Linked DNA regions of Oryctolagus cuniculus. The protein of the gene in region 1 interacts with the protein of each later gene in a pairwise test. Links are inferred from orthologs where the notes say so. Each region holds a gene or a part of one and is shown in the gene's direction. Other genes may lie near its edges.

Region 1 (4,165 bases):
TTCAACGTGGAAATCTAGAATTAAAAGTTCATCTGATCATGCTAGCCTGAATCCAGCCTCTCCAATCAAAGCTTGTCTGGCCTGCATGTCCGTGTTCCAGCTTTCTTCTACCTGGCCCCTGAAACTTTCTCCCAACCCTCAGTCAGGGAGACAAATTCACATCCTATTCTCTTGCCTCTTTTAGAGGAATGACAAAGCCTTCCTCTCCTCAGAGGACTGGACATGCTTGGGAGCAGCAGCCAGGGCCCCATAGCACTATTCCTTGCTCCAATGTTTTAACTAGCTTCTCAAAACTGAAAAGGGGACTAAGTTTTCTTTAAGGTTTATTTATTTATACTTACTTGAAAGGCACAGTGACAGAAAGGGAAATGGTGATAGAGAGAAACAGAGATCTTCCATCCTCTGGTTCACTCCCCCAGAATCGCTGCAACAGCCAGAGTTGGACCAAGCCAAAGCCAGGAGCCAGGAACTCCAGTTAGATCTCCCCCATGGGTGGCAGGGGCCTAAACACAGTTGGATGCTTTCCCAGGCACATTAGCAGGGAGCTGGATTGGAAGCACAGCAGCTAGGACTTCAATCAGTTGCTCTGATATGGATATCTGTGTCTCAAGCAATATGTCACATGCTGGCCCTGGGAATAAGCTTTAAATGTCTTATTGTCTTTATCTAAAAATAGAAATAATACCTACCACATAGACTTGTTGGAGAACTGAGATTGAGTGAGAAAACTAGTATAGAGTAGCAGCTAACTCACAGCACTTGGGTACAAATAATCGCTACTTTGTTTTATTAATCCCTGACAAATTCAGAGGAGAACTTTGCCCTCTCAGTATTGCTCCAACTATACACTTCCTTGTGGAATCCTTCAAATAGCAATCCATAAGTTTCTGGTGAGCTTTTTCGCAGCTATCATTTTCTTTACAACCTTAGCTCCTTTCAGTGGAAAGTTGAGCATTCAATAAATATTTACTGAATGAACAAATACATGAATAAGTGCATGGAAAAAATAGTTAGAGCAAAGTGGGGATAAACTCAAGGCACCCAAATGCTTTAATAGGCTACATCAATTAATGATGTCAAATTCAGTTGTGCAAGTAACAAAGGCACCATAAGACATTAATCCACGCCTTTTTCCTGTATATGATCTGAAACTTCAATCTGTGTACTTTTCAGCCTTTTGATTTTCTTAAGAGTCTACAGTCTCAGAAACAGGATCTAAAGGTAAGGATAGGAAATTACCACAGCACAGTTTTCATTTCCTGCTTTTGGGTATCTGTCGTCGTTGGGCTGCTTAAGCTCAGCTTCTTAAAGCTCAGTCAACATGCCTATCCCACATGATTCAACTCTTAGATCCTCTTTTGTCCACAGGCAGTCAACCTAGGAGAAGGAAAGGCGCTCTCAAATGCTGCGTCTATCCTGGGACTCTATAGAACGATGGAGTTTCATTCTGGTTTAGAAAATGTAGATGAAGATGGATATACTCAATTAGTCTTCAACTCTCGAGTCACCACCAGAACACGTGTGTTATCAGAGAAAGGTATTATTTTTTTTTCTGACTTCAGCACTCTCATTCACAATTAAATACTTAAGTGGAAAAAATTGTAGATACAACTTGTTAGATTTACTTAAAGATTTTTAGAAATTACAGAAGATAACTTGGATTTGTACTAAGCCTTTACTATTAACTAATTGTTAAGCCTAAGCTATTGAGTAACTAATTGTTAGTACTTAAATTAATTATGTATGATGGCAGAAAATACAGTTTCTCTGTTTTATAGAAATTGCCACTTCCTCTCTGAAGAGTTAGCAATAAGTATGAAGGGATTTCTTCTTTTGTTTTTGTATATTGTTTTTGCATCTGTTTTTTAAGATTGATTTATTTACTTGAAAGGCAGAGTTACAGAGAGACAGAAGTAGGTAGAGAGAGAGAAGTCTTTCATCTGCTGATTCACTCCCTAAATGGTTGCAATGGCTGGAGCTGCACCTATCTGAAGGCAGGAGCCAGGAACCGGAAGCTTCTTCCAGGACTCCCACATGGGTGCAGGGGCCCAAGGCTTTGGGCCAGTTTCTGCTGTTTTCCCAGGCCGTAACAGAGAGCTGGATCAGAAGCAGAGCAGCCAAGACTCGAACTGGTGCTATATGGGATGCCGGCACTGCAAGTGGCAGTGTTACCAGCTACGGCACAGTGCTGACCCCATGAATGGGGTTTCAATAAGGGTGACTTGTTGCTTGTTTGATAGAAGGGAATAGATCATAGACTGGAGGTCAAGGAAACTTGTGTGTATCAACATCAGGAAAGACAAGAAAGAGAAGAATGATAAGAGTAGGCATTTGGCCTACTGTTTAAGATATCAGGGTGCCCACATTCCTAGAGTCTAAGACGCTGGGATTTGGACCTCAGCTCTGCTCCTGATACCAGCTTCCTGCTGGTGTGCACACCAGAAGGCAGCAAGTAAGACTCCAGGAGCGGGGTCCCCATCGCCCATGACGGAGACCCAGATTGAATTTCCACATCCCAGCTTCAGCCTGGCCCAGCTCTGGCCGTTAAGTGCATTTGGGGAATGAACCAGCAGATGGTTTCTCTGCCTCTACAATAAATAAAATAAATAAATTTTTAAAAAAAACTTCTTTAGAAAAAGAATGAAAAGATGGGAGACAGATGACAAAAACAGTAAAATGATAATCTTCTTGTAGAGACCAAATGGAAATCAGAAGTCAAAGAGTTTATTTCTTTTTCCTGCTTTTTAAAATTTTTTAAATTTATTTGAAAGCCAGAGAGAGACAGAGACAGAAACGGGTCTCCCTTCTGCAGGCTTACTCCAAAAATGCCTACAATAGCCAAAGCTGGGTCAGGCCAAAGCCAGGAGATCAGAACTCAAACCAAGCCTCCCACATGAGTGGCAAGAACCCAAGCACTTGAGCCGTCACCTGCTGCTTCCTAGGGTGTGTATTTGTGGGAAGCTGGAACTGAAGGCAGAGCCAGGTCTTGAACTCAGACACTCTAATGTGGGATAAGGTTTTCCCAAGCTGTAACTTACTCACTATGCCAAACATCCACTCCAGTCATGGGGTTTAAAAGTCTGAATCTGACATGCCTTTTGTGGTAAGAGATTGGTTTGCATGTTTCTTTTTAAAGGGAGTTCATGGCATTCTGGTGAAGGAAACATATTAGACAAAAAGTCATCATTAACTGGATATGAGACTTAAAATGTAAATGGAATGAAATATGGAGAAAGGAACCAGGGATCTCTTTATCAAACGAGTGATTTTTGTCTCCTCTATGATTCTCCTTGACAATTCCGTGAAATGCTCTTCCTGTTTATTCTCAGTGAAAGGCAGAGATATACTCTTGCTGTGGAAATGTTAATACAACATCAGTTCCCTGTTGTCTTCAAGGGAAACATTCACATGTCTTGACATCAGAATGAGACTTCTGCTTTCTTCTTCACATTGCATAATTGTTTTCCTCTTACCACCAATTAAGCAATTTTTTCTTGGGCAACCTGCTGGGGTTTCCAGAAAGAAAAGTTGGTTGAGGGAGGTGGTATCCAGGTATGTGTGTGTTTATGCATATCAGTGGACAGTGAGTGACCTATAATGTGCTGGTCATCTCTAAGTGGGATGCTTTTTCGTGTTAGTTCACTTAATTCCCACAATAATCCTTGGAGGTATTAGAACCCCAGTGTCACAAAGAAAAATGAAAAACAAAAACAGAGGAAGTAACTTGACCAAAGTCATGCACCGAATAAGTCAAGAGGGGAGGTTATCCTTAGTAACCAATGCTATTTCTTCTACTTTAAGATGTCTCCTCCAAAAATGAAGGGGGGTATCAGAGACCGTAGGAGTGTCAGGACTCAAGAATGTTCACGTGGTTCTGAGACCAGGAGTGTAAGCTGTTCTGCCTATGCTGAAGCTACAGCTACAGCAGCCAAAGAAGAGGTATCCTAAGAGTAGGGGAAAACTCCATTAATTCTGAATGGCGAGGTTATCCAGGCACCAATGATGAATGATTCACTTTAGAATTTGCCAGATTGTAATGACAATGGAATTCAAGTTCTCCACGATCCCTCATCCTGGTCTCCATTCAATTTCTGCTCCTGGTGGCTCTTCAGGAACCCGTACTGTGTCTCCTCCTTGGCGTCTCGTGGCTGTGACTTTGGGAGTC
Region 2 (4,102 bases), on another chromosome or scaffold:
TCCTGGCTCCTCTGCCACCCCGGTGGGGGCCTGCGTGGAGCTCCTGGGCCTGTGCCACTGTGGTGGGGGCCTGTGTCACCGCGGTGGGGGCCTGCGTGGAGCTCCTGGGCCTGTGCCACTGTGGTGGGGGCCTGTGTCACCGCGGTGGGGGCCTGCGTGGAGCTCCTGGCTCCTCTGCCACCCCGGTGGGGGCCTGCGTGGAGCTCCTGGGCCTGTGCCACTGTGGTGGGGGCCTGTGCCACCGTGGTGGGGGCCTCTGCCACCGCGGTGGGGGCCTGCGTGGAGCTCCTGGGCCTGTGCCACTGTGGTGGGGGCCTGTGTCACCGCGGTGGGGGCCTGCGTGGAGCTCCTGGCTCCTCTGCCACCCCGGTGGGGGCCTGCGTGGAGCTCCTGGGCCTGTGCCACTGTGGTGGGGGCCTGTGCCACCGTGGTGGGGGCCTCTGCCACCGCGGTGGGGGCCTGCGTGGAGCTCCTGGGCCTGTGCCACTGTGGTGGGGGCCTGTGTCACCGCGGTGGGGGCCTGCGTGGAGCTCCTGGCTCCCGGCTTCGGCCCGGGGCCAGCTCTGGCTGCGCGGCATTTGGTGAGTGACCCAGCACAGATCTTTCTCCAGCTCTGTGCCTTGCAGATGAGTCGGAAATGGACAACCACATCACAAGAGCGAGTGTGGAGGTAGTGCGTCGAGCTACGTCCCTGCCCAGGCAGAGGCGGCCGCGGGCCTGCCCATCGCCCACGTCCTACAGGGAACTTCATGGGGCCCGGGTGAGGCTGCACCTCCTGGCCGCCGGTTCGAGTCCCGGCTGCTCCATTTCACGGAAGGATCCGCGGCACTCCTCACTTACTAGAGATTCGAGGGTCTCCCGACGGCAGGCAGGCCGCCCTGGGGCTCCCGACCGCGTCCACCCGGAGGCCGCCCTGCTCACGGCGGTCGCCCGGCCAAACCCAGGCCCTTAGGGCACGAACACGGGGCGCCACACGACCTTCCACGCCAGCCGGAGGGCTGCGTCCTGCCCGCCCGGGGCCCCGGCAGAGCCTACGCTCGGAGAGGGCGCGCGGACGCGGACCGGGGCCACCCCGCGCTGACGCAGCCCGCTGACCCGCGCGGGCCGCTCGGACAGCCCCGGGGGCGGAGCCCCGGCCCCGCCCCCGCCCGCGCCGCAGCCCCGCCCAGCGCCGTCCTGGGCCCGCCCCGCGCACGCGCCGCACGTGCCGCACGCGCCACGGGCCCCCGCGCACGCGCAGCGCAGGCCCCGCCCCGCGGCCCGGGGGCGCCGCCGCAGGGCCCGCCCAGTGCGTCTTGGCCGGCGGGGCGCCCGGGCCGCCTCACTCGCGCAGCCGCGGCTCGGCGCGCTGGCCTGGCCGTGCGGGCCCTCGGCGCTCCGGCCTCGACCGTCGGAACGCACCCACAGCCCGGCCGCGCTGCCGGCCCCGGCGCCATGGCTCAGAGCGGGGCCCCTGGGCTGCAGGAGGAGAACCTTCAGGGTGAGGCCTGGGGAGGCGGCGGGGGCGGCGCGGGGAGGCCCTCGCGGCGGGGCCGGGCGGGTCGGACGGGACGGAGAAGCCTGCGTTCCGCGGCGCGGGACCGCCTGGAGTCGCGCCCTGGACCCCCGGCCCCGGCTCGGCGGAGTGGGGTTTCGGGGTCTCTAACGTCCGTGCCCGGGAGGCTTTCCTGGGGGAGGGGCGCGGGTCCGCGGCGGCTCGCTTGGTGCCCACGGTGCAGGTCGTCCGTGCGCTACAGAGACCCCACGGTGCAGGTCGTCCGTGCGCTACAGAGACGCCCACGCGGGGAGGGCGGCGGCCTGCGCGTGGGTCCGCGGGGCGCGGGCCCGACCTCTGCGGCCTGCGAGGGGCGGCCGCCGCGCAGGGGGAGCGCGGGAGGAGCGCACGGAGGCGGATGCCGTCTGCTCGCCGCTCCGCCGCTGGAGAGCCGGGCGGCCGGGGTTGAGAGCGCTGGGGACGGGGCGATGGGCCCCGCAGCGCCCGGGTCTCCTGGTTCTCGAGCCCTGCTTTGGAACGGCCCCGTTTTGAGCGCCGTAACGCAGCGATTTCGAAAACTGCAGTGACTGACAGTGCCGCCGTGACGTAGCCCGGGGTTTCGGTGCAAAGCGAGACCCCAGGGGTGCGCCGTGGCCGCCCCGCCCTGGCCTCTGGCTCTCCCGTGCCCTGCGCACACCGGCCTGCTCGGTCCCGGCCAGCGTCCGATGGCGCTTTCTCAGTGTCCGAGAGAGGACGGCTGCACCGGGGCAAACTCACTGCGGATCCTGCGGGCCTGGGCGTACGTGCGGCCGGGCACTCGCTCGCTGCCCAGCCCAGCGCCGTCACGTGGGGCCTCGCAGCTGCCCAGGATATGTAATCCCTGCCTGCCTGCGAGGTTTGATCGCCTCTTGTTTACCTCTGGCCCGCGGGCAGGCCCAGCGCCGGCCCAGGCGGCCCTCCCTGGGCCCGGGCAGCAGGCTCGGGAGCCCTGGTCCCTGCTGCCCGCGCTCCGGGCGCCCGCCCTGCCTTTCCTGTGCTCTCGGTGTTCTGCGGGGCGGGGGGGGGGAGGAGGAAGTCGCATTTGTCCTGGGGGGGGGACGCGTCGGGTCCATTGCCCGGGGGTCTCAGGCAGCCGGGTTCTGGTCTCTACATCGCAGGAAGGTTCAGAGGTGAAGTGGGAAACAAGGCTGCACGGTGGGTGGGGGGACTCGGGAGCGCCGGCGGGGAGCTTGAGCCACGTGACCGGGGCGCTCGTAGAAGCCCGCAGCCTGAGTTCTTACGTCCAGTCGTGCCAATCCGGTCTCTTTCCTCTCCCCGCTAATGGGCTTTTGAATGGAAGAACAGGACTTCTGCAGCCCACCCTCGGGGAGAAGCACTGTGGGGCCTGGGGCTCCGGTCCCTTCCAGGCTCACCAGGCTCAGCAGCTCCCTTGCGTCAGGCTTCCCGGGGAAGTGCACACACACCCCCCCCCCCCATCCCTCTGCAGCCCCGTCTCCCGTCTCGGAGCCCCCGGCTGTGCACCGTCTCCGTGGGGCTTCTGGGTGTGCAGTGGGTGGCACAGGGATTCTGAACTCGGGGACAGGCCCTGGGGCGACTGTCCCATCCCAGACGCCACGTGAGGTTCGGGGGCTGGCTGTGGCCACGGAACCAGCACCGGGGGACGGGGGCCTACAGGGTTACCCCGGCTCTGACAGGGCAGTGGGGTGGAGGTCCGACGAAGCTTGCTATTTTAACAAAATGGAAGAATAAGTGGAACCTAAGAAGTGGCTTCAGAACTCTGAAGAGCTGGGTCGTATTGAGTCTGTGGTTGAGGGGGTTTACATCCGCCTGCTGTGTATCTTGTTAGCAAAGTCAACCAAAAACTAAAAAACAAACCTTGATTTATTTGAAAGGCGGACGACAGACGATCGCTTGCCAAACAGCAGCCTGGGGTGGCTGGCCGGAGCCAGGAGCTCCGTCGGTCTCACGCAGACACAGGGCTCGGGCCGGGCCGTCGGTTGCCGCCTGCCGGGGCAGGAAGCTTGGTTGGGAGCAGGGAGCCAGTACCAGACGTGGGTGCTGAAACCTGCGCCGGGGGGGGGGGGTGCTGCCAGCCCCAACCACGCAAGCCTGGCTAGAGACTTCTAGAATGAGGTCCCTGGGTCCTGCCTTTGCGGTGCTGGGAATACATTGTGGTTACAGTTACCAGGAGACACTGAACTGGATGGCACCAGTGCCCAGCTCCGGAAGCGAGGGGTTAGCGGCGGCCTCTCACTTGCAGGAAGCACCTTCTCAGGGAGTTGCTACAGGTTAATGATAAAACTCCTGTCCCTTAGTAAATCATTTCCTGAAATACAACTTTTGAACCCAAAGTTTTTGTTTTCTGAGTTTGTTTATTTTGAGATTTGGAGACGGAGCTTCCGCCTGCTGCTTCACTGCCCAAATGCTCACCACAGCCGTGGCTGGACCAGGACAAAGCAGGAGAGCGGACTCGTCCAGGTCTCCCTGCCGGGCGGAGGCACTCCCCTGCCTGCTGGGCTGTGGCCGCGGCCGGAAGCAGCCAAGACTCCACTCTGATGGATGGGGCGTCCAAGCAGCGCCGCAGCCGCGTGCTGCACGCCCGCGCGGGGTGACGGGAGAGTGCAGGGC
Region 3 (4,189 bases), on another chromosome or scaffold:
TATGCTTGAGAAAGGAGCTGAGGATGGCCCAACTATAAAATACTTGGCTCTTGTCTTAGGCCTGGTGCAGACCTGGCCATTGAGGCCATCTGGGGAGTGAACTAACAGAAGAAAGATTTCTCTCTCTCTCTCTCTCACTCGCTCACTCTATCTCCCCTTTTCCCCCTTCTCTGTCACTCCGCCTTCCAAAGAAACAAATAAATCTATATAAAAATTTATTTGCAATAGGATTTGACCTACTAATCCTTTAAAAAATGTTTAAGTACAAAGTTTTTCAAATAAATGAAAACACTGGAAGAAGAGTTTAATATTCATGTATTACCTAGCTTCAGTAATCGCCAACACATGGTCAATATTTGGCAAGCCCATTTTTTCAGTTCATCTGAAGGGTAATCAGTCATTTTCAAAAGACAAATGAAGAGAGGCTCTCTAGTAACCAGCCCTGAGACAGACTTGTTTCTGTGGGCATTTAGACCATGCAATTTCAAATCAGGGTTGAAGGGAGGACTTAAAAATCAGTAAATATTGTTGGGTCAATTGGTTACAAAATTGGGAAGAATTGAAGTTAAATAACATGTGAAAATTGAATTTTAGGTGGACTGGGGCCTAAATATAAAATTAAGGCTATAAGGGAATTAGAAAAAGTTACAAGGGCAGGAGGAGTGGATTCCTAATCTTGGTTTGAGCCAGGGGGACATGACATGAAAACAATACAGGAGCAATTAAAACATCTGCAGAGCGAAGCAACACGAAAGACAAGTCACAAATGCCACCGCAGGCAACAGGTCAGCCAGCCCAAGGACACCAGGGGACCGGGCCTCTGGAGACAAGAGAGCGAAGTAGACGGGCTGTTTAGGAACAAAGGAATTTAGTGCCACCCACATACCAGACACGTGGCTTCCCACGTGGTGGCCCGGAAACAGCCGCGTGGGGAATGCGGCGATTATTTTCTTCACTGTGTTTTCCTGAAGGGATTTTTTTTAACCATGATGGAGTGTTACGAATCCTGTAATAACCAAAAGATAGCCCTATATTGTGCCCTGCTTGGAATGCTGATGTCCCATCAGGCTTTCGGCTTCCTGTGCCGCAGTGAGTCCTTACAGGTATTTTAAAAATTAAATGCTCGGAGACTGACAGAAACAACGAGCGCGGTGTAGGTGTGGGAGGAGTTCTGCTCGCGAAGACACCTGCATTGCACTGCTCGCCCATCCTCTCTCCCAGTGCCATCTGCATCACTCACTCCAAATTACAAGAAGGAATTCAACCCTCCCGCGCGTCAGCGTGACTCCCGCGCCCGCACGTCCGGGCCCGCACAGGAACGCCCCTGCCCCGCCCAGCCCCGCCGCTTGTTGTGTTGTCATCACGTGGCTTGGGCGGACCCTGACGTCAGCTACAGGGGAGGGACTGCGCAGGCGCAGAAAAGGGGGCGGGGGACTCAGCTTGTTGTGTTGCTGCCCGAGAACCGGAGACGGTCCTGGTGCGGCCGCAGCTCTTCCAGACGCCCGACCATGTCGTCTCATTTAGTCGAGCCGCCGCCGCCCCTGCACAACAACAACAACAACTGCGAGGACGGTGACCAGCATCTGCCCCCACCGACCGGCCTCAACAGTGAGTGCTCGCCGACGGGTTCGCTGAAGGGGATGGGGGAGGAGGAGCTGCTCCGGCCGCCGCCACCAGCGCCGCGCGGGGGGCGGGAGGAGAAGGCAGCCCATTGGTCAAGCCCGAGGATGTTCTGCTGACTGACAGCTCCCGTCACCTGTCAGGAGGAGGCGCTTCAGTCTTCCTCTTGGCTAGTCTCCGCTCCCTCCTGGGGTCTTGGACTGGGTGCCAATTGTGGTCGCTCTCCGGGAGGGGAGGAGGGTGGGGAGAAAAGGGGATCGCGCGCCAGACTGCCCCTGGGGCAGGGCAGATCCCACCTGTAGGCCCCTGAAGCAGAGCCAATCGGGGCAGGGAGGGGGCGGGCCCTGGGGAGCGGGGCGGAAAGGTGGGCGGAGCGGGCCGCGAAGGGGACGTGGGCAGGGATGGGGACGTGCGGCGGGGACGCCGGGGGATGGACGCGCGGCGCGGGAGGGCAGGGGAGGGGCGGCCGAGGACGTGTCGGGGAGCAGGTGTGCCGTGGGGCCCCTGCCGAGCGTGCCCCGCGGGCCGGGCTTGCCCGGGCGGGGCCCGGCAGCCCTCGGTTGCGATCCTTTGTTGCCACATGCCGGTCGGGGAAACCCATTTGGCAATTTCGTGGTGACTCGAATCACGTGTGGGGGTGCACAGCCTGTGCCTTTCATTTCTTTTTCTTTGCTGCTGCTTTGTGAGATTTGCAAAGTTGCTCAAGTCTTTTTCAACGATGCAGTAGCGTGCACAGTAAACCTGTTTTAAGATGAGCCCCACTTCCAGCCCACGCGGAGTCTGGGGCGATGGGTATTCACACATGGGATTTAAAACACCCATCACAGGCACACGGGTGGTTGACAGTGGCAGGGTGGCGCTAGGACGGACCCCGGGTACTTCTGACAGCCTGGGGCTCAGACATCTTGCCAGTGGTGGTGAGAGCTCCGAGGTTCTTGCCTAACCTTTTTCTGTAATTTGCTCTTAGGAAAGAGGTGGTGGAGGCAGCCAGCATATGGCCAGACCGAGTCGCTTAACAACCATTTGGATGCTTAAAGGTCACACCGTCTCTTTCCTAAGAGGAAAGCGCTCCCAGCGTGGCCAGAACGTTATTTTAGGGAAGAGAGTCCCTGTCCCCTGAAGAGTGGGCATGAAAGCTGGGTATTTTTAGATGCTTTCTCTGCCTGTGGCAGGTGGTCGGTCGTTGATGGACTAATTCTCAGTGTTGACTGTTTTTAAACTTGTAAGTGTGTATGGAATGTTCTAGAATGTAAGATCTCTGCTGTTTCCCCTGCAGTAAGTTAGGAGTAGTGGAAGTCTTTAGATCTTACTTGTTGGTCACGTTTTGGCATACATGCTTGGAAGCGTGGATCTGGGGATAGAAACGGGGTTTAGAGTGAGGGGGCTCGTTCAGGTTGACAGCTGGCCGGACCTAGAGCTGAGGACCCCCCTTCAGCTCCTCGGGTGCCCCATCCGGGACCTTCCCTGGGGTCCCAAGTCCCTGATCACGGGTGCTTCTTACCCTCAGCATGTTTTTCTGTCGAATGTACATCGGTGGCTGCCTATCTTTATAGTATTCTGTTTCTTAATTGTGCTGTTTTCATATGCGTAAGAAATGTGTTTAGTATGTGTACGTGATTTCCCAGAGTCCAAAGGAGTTTTAATGTTCCTGTGACCCTTTACCATAAAGCAAGAGGGAGGGTTGAGCTGTATATGATTGTTTATCTTGGTGTTTGATGTCTGGCCAATCAGTTCCTGCTACGTTTACATTAGCTGTTAGAGAAGTGGAAGAACACCCCGCCTGCAGGTGATACCAGATGTTGCTTTGGGGAATCCACTAGGTAGAAAGTGTTTTATTTGGGGGTAATGTGAGCTTTTTAAGTTACTGCAAAACTTTCAGATAATACCATACTAAATTACTCCTCTCTTGCTTCTTCCTCTGATCCTTTTTTTCTCCCTCGTTACACAACACTGGACTGAACAAAACAAGAAGCCTTATTGATTCCTTCAAGTGATTTTTGGGCATCTGGCAAAACAACTTATTCAGACATTTAATACTATGAATTGCTGATAAGTTGGAGTACTCTGTTGGGTAAAGCACGACTGTGAAAACAGGAGATGAAACTCATCGTGATTATCTCTGGTTAGGATTTTATCTTTGGTCTAGGGGTCAAAGCAGAGTTTAATGGCAATTTATTGAAATACTTAAATAGTAAAGCCTTTCTCTGAAAGGTTTTTTTTTTTTTAATTTATCATTCATTCTAGGGCAACTGTGTTTTCATAACAAATTAGGGCACAAATATCCAAACTCTTTCTCAAGATAAAAAAATATTTTCTGGTTCTTAGTTTTATGCTTTAAAAAAAACTATCATGTTCCTTAAGAATATCTGAATAAAAGTTTGTCATAAAACTCAGTATAAGGAAAATCATAGAAGCAGTGTAGTTCTTGTGGTTTAATGTGGGAATTACAACTTTTTTAAAAAAATTAATTTATTTGAAATGGAGAGAGACAGACATACCCATCTTCTGGTTATTCCTCAAATGCCTGCAACAGCAGGGCTGGGCCAGGCAAGGGCCAGGAGCTAGAACT
Region 4 (4,112 bases), on another chromosome or scaffold:
CTGCACTCAGAAAGCTCAAATGCCTTGAGGGGTAAGATCTTGTCCTAGAACATAGAACACAGGATAGGTTGGAGGAATTGCTCTGGAAGCCCCCAAACTGGGTCTGCTTACCCGACACTCAGCAAGCCAATTACTGACACCAGGTGGTGGAGGACAGGGCGTGTTTGGTGTAAAGTGCAGATTAAGGAGCAGGGCAGCTACCACTTCATTCCCAGACTCCTCGGGGGCTGAGGGTAAAGGTTCTGCAAGACTGAAGTTGGGGTTAAAGAGGTGCATGTTGGGCTTGTGTGCAAGTCCCTGGTCGGTCCTCAGTGCTCGTGGCTCTCCTTTGATTGGTTAGCGATGCCACCTTCTCTTGGGAATTCCAGTCACTCAGGTGGTAGTTACTTCTTGCTTGGAGCCAGGGTTCCTAGGAAAACTCTCAAGACTGAACACCAAGATGTTATCTGCAGAGGCCATAAATGACCCCATGAGTCTTTTGATCCCGGACCCTGAATTGCTGCACCAATTCAGTGAACTTGATTTGTAATAAGGGCAGTTAGGAAAGGAGCCTGGAAGACCACGGTAGGCAGGCTCTGATGATGCTGACGGCGTGCAGCATCTGCACCAGGGGCACCGCCCAGGGGCTTGGGTTCCGTCTGCTCACACTGGAAAGAGCACCGATGACACTGGGACTATGTTCTCTTAACTTGAAACCTAATCTGAAAAGAAAGGCGTTCTGGTGCCTGTGCACACCGTGCGATGGGAACGTGAACTGCCCTCTCTGTCACGGTGCTCCGGGCTCCAGCCACCAGCCTTCCTTCTGTCCCTGACACAGCCAAGTCCTTCCCACTTGCTGTTCCGCTTGGAACACTCGTCATCCTGATTCTCCAGCTCCTGATTCTCAGCTCCAGTGTCATCTTATCACAGAAGTTTCTTCTGCTAAGAAAGCAGGCTTCCCTATCACCTGTTACCCTTAAAGAAGGGCAGAGCTCTTGACGTCACTTGTCTTCCTGTGTCTGTCTGTACCTCGTACAGAGCCTAGCTAATAACAGGTACTCAATAAATATTCTTTGAGTGAGTAAATGTACACAATCCAACTCTTTTCTGGCTTTACCCAATCCACTCCAAGCACCGTTTGGTGCACAAAGCTACTCTTCTTCCTCTGCTTTCCTGACCAGGGCGCCTCACACATCCCGGGTGCCTGGAACACAAACTCACCTCTATGCGTGGCTGCACCCCCGCCACGCTTGGAAAGGACAACGTCCTCCTCTAAAGCTTTTTCTGTCGGCACATTCAGCAGGGCGGGGCCTGCCCCTTTAATCTGGGCCCCACCTGCTCTGGTCAGACAGGTTTGGAGACACAGGTAAAGGGAGGGAGACAGAGAAATACTTGCAGAGCCAGCACGGAGCTGGGCAGTTGCTTCCTGGACTGGACGCTGGGGACCCTCCACCTCTCTCCCGACAGAAAGTAAGGGGGTGTCATGGCTCCAAATGGCGTGGCGAGGGGAGGGCCCTTGGGGAGGGAAGGAAGGGGAGTCGGCCCCGTCCAGAAGCAGTGAGATAGAGGGTGGCAGTGAGGGGTGGTAGGCAGGAGGGAAGGCGTGGGAATCAGCCATGATTCAACCCCAAAGAACGGACAGACCCGGGGGCTGCCGGCATGAGGTGGGATGGTGAGAAGATTGGAGGCTGGCCACACGTTCAGATCGGAGACGCAAGAACTGGTGCTGGCAACTGCCAGCTCCTTGGGACAGATGGGTCGACAGTGACTCCTACTTGCCGGGGGAGTCCCCAGCAGGGTCTGCAGGGAGAAGGGCAGATGGGCTGGGGGAGGGGCTGTGGTGTTGTCCACAGGAAGATCTCCGGGGAGAAAGAAGCTGTTGGCAAAATTCTAGACACCTTCTCTGCTTCCCATTCCTGAATTATGGTATCCGGGACTCCGGGGGTTTTGGTGGAAGTGGGTAGGAGGCATGGGTGGGGGCTGACCGAGGCCAGAGCTGCTGGAGCCTGTGCCCCGACTCACCCTCGCGTGCCCGGATGCATCTGAAGATGTTGAAAGCGTGCCTCCACTTCAGCTCCCTCCCACCTCCCTCGGTTTCAACACCAACCTCTGAACCATGTTCTCCCCGAGGTCCCAGACGGGGCCAGAGGAGCCCCGGAAGTTCCAGTTCTGTGGCCCCGTCCTAGGGGCCTGAGAGAGCTTTTGCCCTCCTCCCTCCAGGATGACGGGACCTTAGGCTGGACCCCAGAACTGAAGCCCCAGCATGACAGAGCCTGAGACCCTGGCCCTGCTGGAAGTGAAGAGGCCTGAGGCCCCGGAGAAGAGCCCACCCCAGGACCTGGTTCCCAATGGCCGGCAGCCAGAAGGGGGAGGCGGGGCCGAGTCCCCTGAAGGCGGGTCCCTCCAAGTGGAGTCTTCAGCTGGCTCTGCCTCAGCCAGAGAGGCCACCGAGGATGGCCTGGACAGCACAGTGAGCGAGGCCGCCACCTTGCCCTGGGGCACCGACCCCCAGCCCACTGCGCCCTTCCCAGACCCTCCCGGCTGGAGGGACGTAGAGTCAGAGCCGCTCGAGCCCGAGCTGCCCGTCAGGCCTGAGGGGCTGCCTGAGGATGATGCCAACCTGCTGCCTGCCAAGGCTGCCCGGGCCTTCGTGCCCATCGACCTGCAGTGCATCGAGCGGCGGCCCCAGGAGGACCTCATCGTGCGCTGCGAGGCGGGCGAGGGCGAGCGTCGGTCCTTCCTGCCCCCCCGGCTCCCCCACATTGAGCCCCCCGAGTGCAAGTGGGCCGAGGCCGTGGTGAGGCCCCCCAGCCGCTCCTGCGGGAGCTGCGGAAGCTGCGGAGGCCGTGAGGGGCTGAGGGCTGTGGCCTCGGTGGGAGCCGCCCTCGTCCTCTTCCCGTGCCTGCTGTACGGAGCCTACGCCTTCCTGCCCTTCGACGCCCCACGGCTGCCCACCCTGAGCTCCCGCCTGGTCTACACGCTGCGCTGCGGGGTCTTTGCCACCTTCCCCATCGTGCTGGGTGAGTCTGGGGCCCCTGTGACAAGAAAGGGGACACCTGGAGAGTGGACTTCAGAAGGGCAGGGCCTGCTGGGGCTTGGGGAGCAGGTGAGCGCCCCTCGTTCAGCCTGGTCCTGCCAGGGCCTCCCCCACCCCCACTCTGTGTGCCTGCCTCCTGCCTGTTTTGACCCCGTGTGTTTCCTGACCCCACCCAGGGCTCCTGGTGTACGGGCTGAGCCTGTTGTGCTTTTCTGCCCTACGGCCCTTTGGAGAGCCCCGGCGGGAGGTGGAGATCCACCGGAGATACGTGGCCCAGTCGGTCCAGCTCTTCATCCTGTACTTCTTCAACCTGGCCGTGCTCTCCACCTACCTGCCCCAGGACACCCTCAAGCTGCTCCCTCTGCTCACTGGCCTCTTCGCCGTCTCTCGGTAAGTGGGGTGGGGGAAGGAGGGTGATGTGCCAGATCCAGGCACCCGAATATCTGGAGAGCGGCTTTTCTGGGTTCTGGAGTGGCCCGCGTGTGCCCTGGAGAGATGAGTTCACTTACTCTCCTGCACCGGACTCACCTGGGGGCAGGTGGGCAGCTCCTGTGTCTGCCGGGAGGTAGGAAGCTGATTTCAGAGATGCGACATGCCAGCATGGAACTGGAAGGCTTTTAAGTGTCACAGAAATCAGCGGGCCCATTACAGCCACTCCTCTGTAGTACTCTGGTCATGCAGTTTTTTTGGCTTCTAGCTGAATGCCCGCTGTGATAAGTGCTCCATTCTTTATAAAGCGATATGTTTTGGTTTTTGAAATCCCTAATTGTTAGAACTTTTTTTTTTTATAATGTGTTAGAAATTTCTATCCTGACTCTGATCCCCAGGACAAACACTTCTCAGTTCTCCCCACTCTAACACTCTGCTCCCCACCCGCCATCTCTACTTTGCTAAGTGATCACGGTCCCTTCATTGTCCAGGCCCCTCCCTCTGGGCAGGAGACGCTTCCCTGGCCAAGGGTCCTCTTCATACAGACGAGGCCACCTTAGCTCTCACAGCGGAATTATTCTCCTCTCACTCAGTTTGCAGTTGCCTGAAATCCTCGGGGAGTATTTTCATGTGAATTTCTGAACCCAGATGCGCTCTTTCCATTTTT

What was found.
Region 2: the proteins of CLEC7A (region 1) and BNIP3 interact in binary tests that used the Homo sapiens proteins (3 or more experiments, as listed by UniProt). The two-hybrid records come from large-scale screens. The link is inferred for Oryctolagus cuniculus from reciprocal best matches to the Homo sapiens genes CLEC7A and BNIP3.
Region 3: the proteins of CLEC7A (region 1) and BNIP3L interact in binary tests that used the Homo sapiens proteins (3 or more experiments, as listed by UniProt). The two-hybrid records come from large-scale screens. The link is inferred for Oryctolagus cuniculus from reciprocal best matches to the Homo sapiens genes CLEC7A and BNIP3L.
Region 4: the proteins of CLEC7A (region 1) and TMEM79 interact in binary tests that used the Homo sapiens proteins (3 or more experiments, as listed by UniProt). The two-hybrid records come from large-scale screens. The link is inferred for Oryctolagus cuniculus from reciprocal best matches to the Homo sapiens genes CLEC7A and TMEM79.

What each region holds. Positions count from the first base shown.
Region 1 is NC_091440.1:106,848,160-106,852,324, reverse strand, and holds the start of CLEC7A (C-type lectin domain family 7 member A), read left to right. Parts: upstream 1-1,309; 5' UTR 1,310-1,434; coding exon 1,435-1,537; intron 1,538-4,112; coding exon 4,113-4,165.
Region 2 is NC_091446.1:1,003,653-1,007,754, forward strand, and holds the start of BNIP3 (BCL2/adenovirus E1B 19 kDa protein-interacting protein 3), read left to right. Parts: upstream 1-1,267; 5' UTR 1,268-1,434; coding exon 1,435-1,480; intron 1,481-4,102. UniProt on the Homo sapiens protein: Apoptosis-inducing protein that can overcome BCL2 suppression. May play a role in repartitioning calcium between the two major intracellular calcium stores in association with BCL2.
Region 3 is NC_091433.1:47,857,544-47,861,732, reverse strand, and holds the start of BNIP3L (BCL2/adenovirus E1B 19 kDa protein-interacting protein 3-like), read left to right. Parts: upstream 1-1,352; 5' UTR 1,353-1,508; coding exon 1,509-1,608; intron 1,609-4,189.
Region 4 is NC_091438.1:42,426,564-42,430,675, reverse strand, and holds the start of TMEM79 (transmembrane protein 79), read left to right. Parts: upstream 1-1,310; 5' UTR 1,311-1,449; intron 1,450-2,199; 5' UTR 2,200-2,242; coding exon 2,243-2,999; intron 3,000-3,192; coding exon 3,193-3,406; intron 3,407-4,112.